Linked DNA regions of Neurospora crassa OR74A. The protein of the gene in region 3 interacts with the protein of the main gene of each other region in a biochemical or structural test. Links are inferred from orthologs where the notes say so. Each region holds a gene or a part of one and is shown on either strand. Other genes may lie near its edges. The genes, in order: NCU04637, acu-6 and NCU03947.

Region 1 (4,105 bases), on a different chromosome or scaffold from region 3:
TTGTGTTCTGTCTGGCTGGTGATGATGTGCTTCTTCTTGCCGGACCGGCCAAAGAACCTAGCGACGCCCTTGATACTCATGTTGTTGCTTTCGGTGGCACCGCTGGTGAAGATGATTTCCTTGGGGTCAGCGCCAATCAGATCAGCAATGTGTTTCCTCGCCTCTTCAACGGCCTTGTCAGTCTCCCAGCCGTAGGCATGTGTCCTCGAGTGGGGGTTGCCATAGACGTTGGTGAAGTAGGGCATCATGGCATCGAGCACTCTGGGGTCGATGGGGGTTGTGGCCTGCATATCCAGGTAGATGGGACGCTGTCCCTCATCCATCACGGTAGCATTGCTGAGAACATCTAGTTGAGTCAGCAACGAGGACGACTGCGCAATATGTCTCCGAAGAGGTGGGAGGTGATGATGATGCTTACCAGCCATGGGGCTGACGTGTTGGCTCGAGCCATTTTGCGCGCTTATAGTGAGGCCCTGCTTCTCCATCTCCCTGTGATCCAGCTTGATAGCATGCTCGGCCTGCACGTCGGCGTTGTTCCTCTTGGTCTCGGTCACATAGCTCCTGGAAGCAGAAGCAGTCTTGACAGCAGCCGCAGTAGTCGCCCGCGACAGCACACGCGCGCTGCGGAGAGGAGCGGCCGCGGCCAAGCGCGATGCCTGTCGCAAGACGGACGGCGCAATGGTGGACATGGTAAAAGGAAGAAGAAAGAAGGAGAGGAAAAGAGAATATGGTGGTGAGGGTGATGGCGGATGAGGGAGAAAAAGTTCGTTTTGTAACCAAACCTACAAAAACGGATGGAGGCAGCGGGCGGGGCGGCTCAAAACACACTCAGAAATTCAGATGGAGCTGCCGCCTCCCGCTCTTCGGCGGTCGGAGTGGAATTTCCGCCATACAGAAAAGAACAAATCGAAACAAACGGCATCCGCACGCGGACTTGGCCTCGGAGGGGTCGGTGATAAAGGAATGTGCCAATGAGGGGCGACAACCAACAAGGTTTGGCACTTTGATTGGTCATTCTGCCATCGGATGGCCCCACCTGTTTCTTTCTCGGACATCGGACAAGCGCGTATGTACGTACGGCGAAAATGACGCTGCTCCAAAATGTTAGAGAATGGGCCGCCGGGCATGACGGAAACTGAACGCTCGATGTGCACCGCGGCGACTGACTTGACAAATACAGTGCGGAATGTCCACTTGTGAAACGGACTCCGCGGACGCATCTGATCCATCATTGCACAGAAAGGAAGAGCACTGACCCGGGGCAGGCATCCATCTGTTCTCTCAATCGGCATGTCCACTGGGATGAAAGCTACACTACAGCGGGCCCCAGACCCAGTCGGTCTACCCCGTCGTTCCAATTCGTTCCTTTCCGGGGTCTCATCGACCAAAAGCAGAACAACCGATGACGGTACCTATTTACCTCCTCGGTAGTATTCTGTTTCCATTCGCATTGGATGTCTGCGTTGGACTATAACTTGAACCATCAGTGACATGCCATATAACCGCCGACAACCTACTTGAATTCCATTTACACTGCTAAACTATTTAGTAGCATCTTACCTCTAGGACAGCTACCTCTAGCTACTTTACCTCCTACCGTTGAAGACCGAATCCTCCCCGAGGAAGTTTGTCGGACCTCGAACGGAACTGCTGACAAGGGTCCGACCGACGGGATTCAAGAACAAACCGAAATCACAAGACGCCTAGACAAAAAGACTTTTCACACTACATCTTGGAACGAGGTCGCTGTGTGCGGCGTGTCCAACATTCAGCAAATAGCAGCGCCACGCAAACCGTCGCAAGCTTCGCTCAGCCAAGACTTCGTCCACCAGCCAAACGACCTGCACCGCCCCCCTGCCCACCCCCAGCGTCATCACCATCGTATCCGGATCCGACTTGAAGAGGGCACTCGACCACCGATTGCCTTCAACCTCTCCGAACAGCAACCCGCTTTGCGCATCTCCATACAAACACCGAATACACATCAGACATCATACGGCTTCGTAGCAGAATATGAGCTTCAGGGGCTTCCAAAAAAGCGTGGTCCGCGTAGGTTCTGCCCCGCATACCTAGTTGATCTCACCTCCCCTAGTTTCGGTTACAGCGTCATCATCACTTCCGCCCTTCCCGTCGAGTCCCCCGTCTGTGGCAGAAATAGCGCCGAATCACTCGGGTTGGCAAACAGGCACTAACACGACAGAAACCAGGCACCACAACAATTCAAGCAAAAGTTTAACCTCGGCGAGCATACCAAAGACCCTGTCTACATCGACTCGGAGCGCAGATTCCAGGAGCTCGAAACCGAGACCAAACGCCTTCACGATGAAAGCAAAAAGTACTTTGAGGCCATCAATGGCATGCTGCAACACCAAATCGAGTTCTCAAAGGCAATGACCGAAATCTACAAGCCCATCAGCGGCCGCATGTCCGATCCCGATTCGCTCGTTCCCCATGGCAACTATGAGGGTATTGCCGCCTGCGAGGAGTACGAGGCCGTTGTCAAGGACCTGCAGGAAACACTGGCGCCAGAGTTGGAAATGATTGAGGCTAGGGTTATTCGGCCAGCGAACGAGCTCCTCGATGTGATCAAGGTCATTCGCAAAACGGCCGTGAAGCGCGAGCACAAGAAGCTGGACTACGACAGACACCGCGCCACCCTCAAGAAGCTCCAGGACAAGAAAGACCGGTCGGCAAAGGACGAGAAGGCCATGTGGAAGGCTGAGAACGAAGTTGAGCAGGCCACGCAAGAGTACAATTACTTCAACGATCTGCTTAAGGACGAGCTACCCAAGCTGTTTGCCCTCGAACGCCAGTTCATTCAGCCGCTTTTCCAGTCCTTCTACTACATGCAGCTCAACATCTTCTACACCTTGCACGAGAAGATGCAGCACTGCGACATTGGCTACTTCGACCTGACCCTGGACATTGAGGAGGCCTTTTACGCGAAGCGAGGTGACGTCCAGGAGCGGGCTGAGGCTCTCTCCATTGTCAAGTTCAAGACCACGGGTATGAAGCGACCGCCCAAGTACCAACGTCCAGGCGCTCTCGAAGGAAACAAGCCAGCAGGCCTACTTACAGCTGGCTCCTCCACGACCACTTCCACCGGTCCGCCTGAGGCGGCTCCCTCAGTCACAGCCCCACGCCCCTGGGAACAGCAACAACAAGCTCCTGCCGTCACAGCACCGCGACCTTGGGAAACCCAGGCGGAAACAGTAGAAGCGCATGCGCCGCCACCGTATTCGGTGAAGCCGAGCACGCTACATGCTACGCCCGCCTCCTACGCCGCTCCAGTTGCCAGCCCGAAACCCTCGTCGTTGTCCATGGCGGCGGCTGCAAAGGCCAAGCCCCCACCGCCGAAGCCCAAGCCCAAGGCCCTCATGGCGGCGGCACCCAAAGTAGAGACCGTCACAGCGCTTTACGACTACTCGGCGCAGGCGGAGGGCGATCTGAGCTTCCGTGCCGGTGATGTGATTGAGATAGTAACAAGGACTGCGAACGAGAATGAGTGGTGGATTGGAAAGTTGCATGGAAAGCAGGGTCAATTCCCAGGTACGTACTGTACTATTTCTTAGGGTGCTTGCTTTGTTGCGAGCTGGATATGTTCTGACACAATGGTCTTTTGCTAGGAAACTATGTCCAGTTAAACAGCTAGAGGATACAAGGCTACTTGTAAATGTAGTTATCAAAGAGTTGCTTTCAGCACACTTCACTTCTCAGCACGACTTCAACCTATACCCCTTTTTTGTGGACCCGTTCATGGTCGAGTTATTCATTTGCAACCACAACACGGATTCTTTCTAGTTCGTCTACATCGTACCAGGCCGTGACGTTCTGTAGCAGGGCCTTGGTGATCCTATACGGATGCAATGATATGCGGCAGGTGACTCTGTTGAGAATAGTCAGGCAGGAGGAAACTCCGTCGCGAAGGAGGACCTGCGAGGAGCGTGGAGCGAGAGGGTCCCGGGTGTTTGCGTCTAGGGAAATGGCGGGTGTATTGTTTTGGAGCGAAGGAAGCAACGGAGTGAAAAGGTCACAGTGCATTGGGTCAAACCTGGAAGTTTTGATTAGATGCGTTTTGCCATGATCGCCGTCGTGGTTTGTTCCC
Region 2 (4,048 bases), about 380 kb from region 3:
GGGTGTACTTGAGCGGGCAGCGCTTGCCGCCCTGGGCGAAGCCGGCACCGACCCAGCCGGTGTTGAGGAGCCAAGCGTTGGCGTTGTGGTTCTCGATCTTCTCGGCGAGCATCTTGGCGTAGCGCATGGGGTGCAGGGCCAGGAAGGGCTGGGCGAAGCACGAAGAGAAGGTCGCCTGGGGCTCAAGAATGCCGTCCTCGGTACCGGCCATCTTGGAGGTGTAGCCGGAGATAAAGTGGAACATGGTCTGGGCCGAGTCGAGCTTGGAGATGGGAGGGAGCACGCCGCGGGCGTCGCAAGTGAGGAGGATGATGTTCTTGGGGTGGTTGGGCGACAGGCAGGGGATCTTGGCGTTGGGGATGTACTCGATGGGATAGGCGCAGCGGGTGTTCTCGGTGAGGGTGGCGTCACCGTAGTCGACCTCGCGGGTTTCGGGGTTGAAGACAACGTTCTCGAGGACGGAACCGTAGCGGATGGCGTTGAAAATATCGGGTTCCTTCTCGGCGGAGAGACCAATGGTCTTGGCGTAGCAGCCACCCTCGATGTTGAAGACACCGCGGTCGGACCAGCAGTGCTCGTCGTCACCAATGAGGCGGCGGTTGGGGTCGGCCGAGAGGGTGGTCTTGCCAGTTCCGGAAAGACCGAAGAAGAGAGTGACGTCGCCATCCTTGCCTTCGTTGGCGGAGGAGTGGAGAGTGAGGATGTTGTGCTTGACGGGGCCCTCGTAGAACATGACGGTGAAGATACCCTTCTTCATCTCACCGGCGTACTCGGTACCAAGGATGACCATCTCCTTCTCGGCAAAGTTGATGGCAACGGAGGTGGAGGAGGACATGCCCTCAGTGTAACGGTTGGCGGGGAAAGAGCCGGCATTGTAGATGGTGTAGTCGGGGTGGAAGTGCTCGAGCTCCTCACGGGGAGGGCGGATAAGCATGTTGCGCATGAAGAGAGCATGGTAGGCGCGGGCGCAGACGACACGGACGCGGATGCGGTACTTCTCATCCCAGCCGGCATAACCGTCAACGACGTAGATGCGATTCCTGGTGTTGAGGTAGTCGACAGCACGCTCGCGGTTGATCTTCCAGACCTGTAGTGAAGAGTAAGAGTCAGCAAGTGGTGACGATGAGGGTGGCCACGTGATCTGGGATCGCCGTTGGCCCGAGTGGAGAAAAAGGGGTTCGGTTGGTGCGGGGAAGGCCGAGTTGTTTCCCGAGCGGGAGCGGGGTGCATTGATGGGGGGGCATGCATCCGAGGCTGTGACCTGATTCGGGGACAAGCGCTGCGGGTCATGACGACAGCCCAGGCGAGAGCAGGGGCGGGTCAAAGGGACCCCACATGGCGCTGCTGGTGCACACCGGCTCCACGATGACACCGACAAGACATCAAAAAGTCATTTTCCAAAGTCGCCAAGAACAATGACGTGAAGCCGTGCTCTGCTTGGCAAAATCCATTGTGTGGAAAGTGCACCGCAGGGCTGCCGGCCTCACCATCGCCTGTTCGAGTGCGAAATTGGTCGCGTGTGCTTGTGCAACCATCCAATGCCAATGCCGCCGCCAATGGATGCATTTGAAACGGTGGAGTGCATCCAACCAACCAACCAACACCTTTTCTGGTCATGTCGGATGTGTCAAAAAAGTGCAAGTGTTTCTTACCTCTGGGCTCATGGGCTTGTTGACAGGTCCCCACCTATTTGAGAAATCGTTAGCAAGTCTGTTGAAGTCAAAGACAGAAGCGACAGATTCAAACGTACCAAATGTCGTTTTCTGATGAAGGCTCCTTGACGATACGCTTATCTGAGGGAGAACGGCCAGTCTTCTTGCCCGAGTAGGCGGTAAGAGCACCGCTGGATGTGATGGCAGTGCCCGTCTCATAGACAAGGGCATCTTCGTAGAGGGAGGCGACTGAAGGGTTGGCGATCTGTGGAGGGTTAGTTATGCGTCCTTCCAGCAGCATGGCCATTTTCAAAGAGTCCAACTTGGAGCCAACAGGCGGTGCATATGCAAGCTCCTTCATGTTGATATCGAATGTTGCAGTCTCAAAAAGGCGATGAGGAGAGAGGGACGTACAATAGCGACTCTGTCATAGTCGATGTGAGCTTTTTGATGGAGCTCCTCCTCTAGTTCTGTGTGCTCGACATGGGGCCTGTTGAAGTCATCGTCAGCACCTCTGGCCAGGCAACGAGTCGGGTTGCCAGGGAGATTTGCTCACTTGACACCACCAGGGTGGAGGTTGGTCTTGTTGACGTGATCGTGGTTGAACACTAGACGAGACAAGTGCGGTTAGCCATGGTGAACTCGTCAAAGTCTCTTGTGCAGCCGGGGCTGCGTGTGCTTTGGGCTGATAGAGACGAAGATATGACGACACTTGGTCATGAGGGGCATTCATTATATGCAATGTGTATGTATGTTGATGTGTATGCGTGGGCATTGTCGAGGCTTGAGGGCTGGCAGTTGGGGTACTTGCTGTTGGATGATTTATTGTTGTTGTTGTTGCTGTTGTTGTTGTTGATGAAGCTAGAAGATGGACCAGACGAGAGACGTTGTAGTCGAGGGCATTTGATGATGGGATTAGTGTAGGGAGAAGCGGTTCTGATGACGGGGTCGCCCATGGTACTTATTGTTTTCGACGCGGCGGTTTGCAAAGGCCGGACGACTGGAAAGCCAACTCGGGAGTGGAAACGGTTACGGGCTCGTGGGTGAACGGTGACAGGGGATGCGGGAGCACAGCCGGAGACGACAACGACAAGTAAGCTGGAGGAGGATCCAATTGGTGAAGATGGAACATGTCCCAGGAGAACCCGAGGTGAAGGAGACATGGGATATAAAGATGTGGAGACCAAAGGGTAGCCGATGCCCAATCATGCGTGACGTCTTTGCTTTGAAGGCGCCTCCAACCCCGGAACAGGAGCGGGTGTAAGTGGAATCTAACGGGCAGCACGGGGCAGCACGGGGCAGCACGGGGCAGGACGGAGGCAGACGGAGCCAGAGGGTTGCAGGGCGGTCTTGACGCTATGGGCGGACGGTTTCCTGTCTGGGCTGAAGACGGTTTCCACGAAGACTTTCCGGAGCCAGGCACTCGTCCACCCCTGCCCCCCTGTCGTCCTTCGGGAATCATCAGGGCGATGCAAATCAACCACAATTATCATAGTACACTAGATCGCTGCTGCGAACCGTGCTATGTACACGACCGTACGCATGGTGGTGGTGTTTCATCAGGGGTGCAGCGACGTGGTTTGTTGAACGGTTATTGCTGGATGTGGTCAAGCCTGGGTGCGCTGGCGTGGACAATTACTGTACGTAGTGTCTTGTAAGCTGGCAATGATCGAAGTCCAGTTTGCTAAGTATCGGCCTTGACGTTCGTTTCTAGCTGCCATTTGATATTTTCAGGCCACTGGATATTGTTCGATGTAGGCACGGATTCAATGAGCAACTCTCTGTATCAAACTGTCAATGAATTTCACACTGGTCTTGCATCTCCTACTTTATTACCCCGTCTGTTCAACTTGCACAAGATTCCAGTGTTGTTGGCTGCAAGTTTGTTGGTCTGAGCCTTGGCCATCCTGTCAATGTTCTTGGCCGCAGCCTGAGACAATCTGTTTCGTGTTGCAATGACTACCATTCCGAAGGATGCCGGTACAGTGTAATTCCTCGATCATGTTGTGCTTTGGTTTCAGTTGAAGGCCGACGTTGGATTCGTGATTGTACGCAGCATGTGCAAGTGGATAGTGAGATGATGTGCGACTCGGAGACGGTGTAGGGAAACGGCCGCTGTGTGCAACGGTTGTATGTACATGTACGCAGTACCTACCTAGCTAGGTAGGTAGTTGCTGGCCAGGGGTTAGGGGAAGCGCGGTGGAGGCTACAGGGAAATTTGGGCCTGCCAAACCGGGAATCAGAGCAGCGCCTAACAATTTACCATTCCCACACTCAATCGCCTGTGCAGTCTTGGCAAGAGGTGTGTGTGCGTGCACACACACACACACACACCGCACTTCTGTATTGTACAACTTCGTTAAAATTCATTATTTCACAATAATTTCTATATTAAT
Region 3 (4,007 bases):
GCAGTAGAATGGATTGAACATTTCGTGAGAAAGGAGGAAGAAGAACTCGCGCGACAGACCGCCGTAATCGAGGCCGTCCTCGCCGTCGAACTTGATCATCAATCGTTTCTTCAGGTCCGTCGCCGATTGCCTCGAAATCTCCGCAAACGAATCCTCGAAAATGTGCGATCTCCTGACCTTGATGTGACACTGTCCGGACATGATCCGCATAGCAGGCTGCGAACGGAAATAGATGAGCTTCCTCCTGAAGTCTCTCTTGTACTGCGGTACGTTCTGGTCGAGCGACGAAGGCAGACGAGGATCATCCCAGGTCGTTGTCTTGGTATTGTGATCCACGAAGTAGACGCGAGCCGTGTTGGTGAGCCGCATCTCCCAACCACTAGGCAGGGGACCGAGCTGGGACACCGGCTGTTGTTGAATGGTCCCGTTCGTGTTGTTCTGGCCACCGTACATGCGAATGTACTGCTGGCGTCGAGGGTCGACCCAGGTAGTAGTGCGCGTGTTGTGGTCGACAAAGTACGGCCTTCCTTCTGGGGTAAACCTCTGCTCCCAACCAGCAGGTAATTCACCGGTTCCGGGGGTTGTCGCCCCGGTATGCATCATAGTGGCAGCATTGGCGGTGGCGGCAGCTTGCTGCTGCTGTAGGGTGGGGGAATTGGCGCCAGTGCGGTCCTCGGGAAGTGTTCTGTTCTGATGCCGTTGACGCTCGACTTGAGTATTGGCTTCGGCGGTACGGTTTTCGGCCGCCCCTGTGCCAGTTGGCCGATTCCAGCTCGTGGTCCGTGAATTATGATCAACATAATATGTCCTCCCCAAATGATCCTCGCGACGTTCCCAGCCAGCTGGCAATCTTCCCATTGAATCTTCGAAGGGGCTAAGCGTGCTATGGTGCCTGGCTTGCGCCGGAACGAGGGTCGACGGGTTCGTTGGGGCTGTTCCATTTGTCCCGGGGGTCGGGGCTGTCGACGACGACGAAACAGCCAGGCTGGCGGGTCGGCTTGCCAAAGTCATGTTATTGGCGGTTCCATTAGGTCCGGACATGGCTGATGAAGGACGTTCGTTCGCTCTGTCGTTAGAAATAACCGAACTTTGAGGGGTGAGTAGTGATGGTCTGCTCGAAGATGGAGGGGGACCGAGGCGACTCATAGTTGCTGTGAGGTTAGTAGATAGGTTTATGATCAGTTTGCCGTGCACCACAAGGTTGTCGGTCGATTTCTTAAGGTCCCGCGTGAGCATCTGATCTGTGGGTGTGGTGCATGTCAGTCCCAAATCGCGCTGTCAACCTGCAAACACATGTGAATTGCAGTGAAACCTTACCTTCCGCATCGGGAGCCAATTCTATTACGTCCCCTATCCGGACATTGATGACACCGAGGAAACCTTGGTCCTTCTTTTTGAACTTCTTTTGGTCGAACACCTGGACAGCCAGAATGCTGTCCTCATTCACTTTGCTACGTTGTATTAGCCAGCTGGCCCTTGGGCTGTCAAATCTGAGTTAAGGTCGAACCTACAAATCAAAGTGTTCGTTCCAGTATGGGTTTAGGGTACGCTTGGAGACCTGGGTGGTCTTTGTCTGCTCACCGTTAATGGTAGCGACGGCGAACGGGTCGGGAAACCCTATGATGATGATGCGGTTAGCATATGCCACCTGGAAGTGGCTTAGAAGATGCATGACACCTGGCCACGGGGAGAAACATACTGAAGACATCTCGCTTGTATAGACCATCGGCGGCGATGACTAGAGGGGCATGTTAGTACACCGGTTGGTCATCGGACACATTCGTCGCAAAGGGGCTGAGTACTTGTTACGCGGAGATTGGGCTGGCTTTAATCGTGGTGGTTGTTAGCTGGCTGTTCTCTCGCTTATAATCCGCGGTCCCTGAGGGCGACGCAAAGCAGACAAGATGGGTAGATGGAGAGTCCAGTCGTGGGAGAACTTACGCCGGCAGCCCCGAGTCCCGGCTGCTGGTCATTGTTGCAGATGGAGCGCGTCAACAAACTCGCACGCGGGGCTTTAAGTTTTCGTCTCGTTTCTTGGACCAAGCAGAGGCTGGTCGCAATCGGGTCGGGTAGTCGGTCGCTCTCGCTCGTTTGGGATCGAGGACTCGCGGCTGAATGCAGGCGGGGCGGGGATGAAAGGAGGACAAGTCGACGATGGTACAAGCAGGCTGAATGATTGTTACAAAAGGGCCAACTCTCCTTGCGATGGACACTGACGTTGACGAGAACGCGCAGTCACTGGCAACGGAATGGATGCGGCAGGGTGGATGAAATTCTGTAGGTGGCAGTAGGTGGTAGATGGAAGCTAGAGGGACTCTTGAGCGCCCGTAGGTGGTGAGGCTGTGCTGCTCTTGGTAACTCGTGCGTGTGTGGCCAGCCGGCCCCCCCGCTTTGGGTATCTTACGCTGTCAGGTAGTCACGGCGGCGGAAGGCGAACTGCAAGGAAAGGCCAAGCAATCCAAGAGGCCAAGGTTGGACGGCTGTGGCTTGGTAATACTAAGTAATCTCTGTACTAGCAAGGTCGGCAAGGCAGGTCTGATACTTAGGAAACCACTTCTGTGGATCAACCAGCAGGTAGTGTAAACTCGCTCGGATGTCTAGGTTCGTCTGGTAAGGGTACCTTTAGTTAGTAGTGTCGAGGTTGAATGCTGTCGTTGTTTTGTCGCGGTGAAGCTGCTGGAAGTGGCGGGTGGGTGAGCTTGGGTTCGACGGACCAACCCCAAGAAGGTCCAGGTGAAGAGCTCAATGACCTTCACTAAGTTGCAACCGACGGATGAGCCAAAGGATGGGAGGGAAAACGACCGAGAAACCTGGACGTCTTGCGATGTTGCAAAGGTGCAATGGTGCAACGACCCAAGCCAAGAAATTGACAGTCCAAGTTGGATCTAGCATTGGTGAAGAGACAGGGGGAGGTGACAAGACATAATGGTTCAACAGCATTAACGGGAAAGTATGGCTGGCCTAGCATGCTCTGTGCGAGAAGCTTAACTTTTCAGTTAGTAGCTCAGGTATCGCATTAACGAGTGACTACTTTTAGGCCAGGAACTAGTTAGCAGAAGCCTGCAAAGAGCGAGAACTGAAGCGGAAGGTGCGCACAGTGCGGTACTTGACTTCTTCTCTTAAGCAGTTGGTCGGGTCATTCGAGTCCCAGACTCCCAGGGGGCCACATTCACTCCATGCTTGGCACGGCATCCAGATCTCGAGATCAACATCAACAACATCATTGGCACACAAAGAGCAACCTTGGTGTACATGGATCACATAGTCCCGTGTCTTTTCTTAGGAGTTGATGCCCTGTCAGGAAAATATCCCATGGATCACGGCTCAGTCATCGACACAGAGAATTAGAATAGGTAGCTATGCTGGCCTGAATGCCTTTCCATGACTAGGGGTAGGAAAGCACCTCCACCGACCGCCCCAAGCTCCGAGGTCTCTCCAGGAAACGCCAAGATTGTAGTAGAAGCTGTCTGTTCCAAAAACTCTACACAAGAGGTAGCCCAACGATCGGGGATGATGATGATCTTGCGCAGATCTACCAGATATCAAGCCACTACCGAACTTTGAAGAAACCTCCAGAGGCAGTCAATTAGGAAAGTGAACACTTCAAACCTCAACCTTGACAATTCAACGCACAGCACCTCTACATCCCATAACGACGATACACCGCACGGGGTGCAAAAAGGCGTTAGGTCGCTACTTAGCGTATCCCAGTACATGTAGTGTACCCCCGTTGCCGCCGACCGAGACGCTGCTGTTCCAACAATAGCGCATCACCGACATAAACGCCCGTCATTTCCATTTTGATACCCCTCGCGTGCGACGGAACTGCGGGGCGTTACTGCATCTCTGGATTTTCAATTGAGGTTTCTTTTTTTGTTGAGGTGCTTTTGACGATGGGGAGTTCATGGAAGCATAGAGGTACCCATCATATGTACACTAGGTTTGTACACTACACTAGTGGCTGTCATCATTGAACGAAGCGAGACAGCAAATGTGGAGCGCCCTTT

What was found.
Region 1: the proteins of NCU03947 (region 3) and NCU04637 form a complex in vitro, tested with the Saccharomyces cerevisiae proteins (4 studies listed by BioGRID, with this or other methods). The link is inferred for Neurospora crassa OR74A from reciprocal best matches to the Saccharomyces cerevisiae genes RSP5 and RVS167.
Region 2: the proteins of NCU03947 (region 3) and acu-6 form a complex in vitro, tested with the Saccharomyces cerevisiae proteins (2 studies listed by BioGRID, with this or other methods). The link is inferred for Neurospora crassa OR74A from reciprocal best matches to the Saccharomyces cerevisiae genes RSP5 and PCK1.

Annotation. Positions count from the first base shown.
Region 1 is NC_026505.1:1,375,532-1,379,636, reverse strand, and holds the start of NCU04637 (BAR adaptor protein RVS167), read left to right. Parts: upstream 1-1,297; 5' UTR 1,298-2,013; coding exon 2,014-2,049; intron 2,050-2,207; coding exon 2,208-3,549; intron 3,550-3,626; coding exon 3,627-3,652; 3' UTR 3,653-4,105. Other genes in the region: NCU04636 (cysteine desulfurase), read right to left, coding at 1-346, 419-689. UniProt on the Saccharomyces cerevisiae protein: Component of a cytoskeletal structure that is required for the formation of endocytic vesicles at the plasma membrane level.
Region 2 is NC_026506.1:1,823,586-1,827,633, reverse strand, and holds the start of acu-6 (phosphoenolpyruvate carboxykinase), read right to left. Parts: upstream 2,803-4,048; 5' UTR 2,609-2,802; coding exon 2,464-2,608; intron 2,261-2,463; coding exon 2,209-2,260; intron 2,143-2,208; coding exon 2,067-2,142; intron 1,918-2,066; coding exon 1,751-1,917; intron 1,687-1,750; coding exon 1,653-1,686; intron 1,088-1,652; coding exon 1-1,087.
Region 3 is NC_026506.1:2,205,875-2,209,881, reverse strand, and holds the start of NCU03947 (ubiquitin ligase), read right to left. Parts: upstream 2,809-4,007; 5' UTR 1,974-2,808; coding exon 1,942-1,973; intron 1,826-1,941; coding exon 1,803-1,825; intron 1,739-1,802; coding exon 1,700-1,738; intron 1,618-1,699; coding exon 1,512-1,617; intron 1,452-1,511; coding exon 1,318-1,451; intron 1,242-1,317; coding exon 1-1,241. UniProt on the Saccharomyces cerevisiae protein: E3 ubiquitin-protein ligase which accepts ubiquitin from an E2 ubiquitin-conjugating enzyme in the form of a thioester and then directly transfers the ubiquitin to targeted substrates.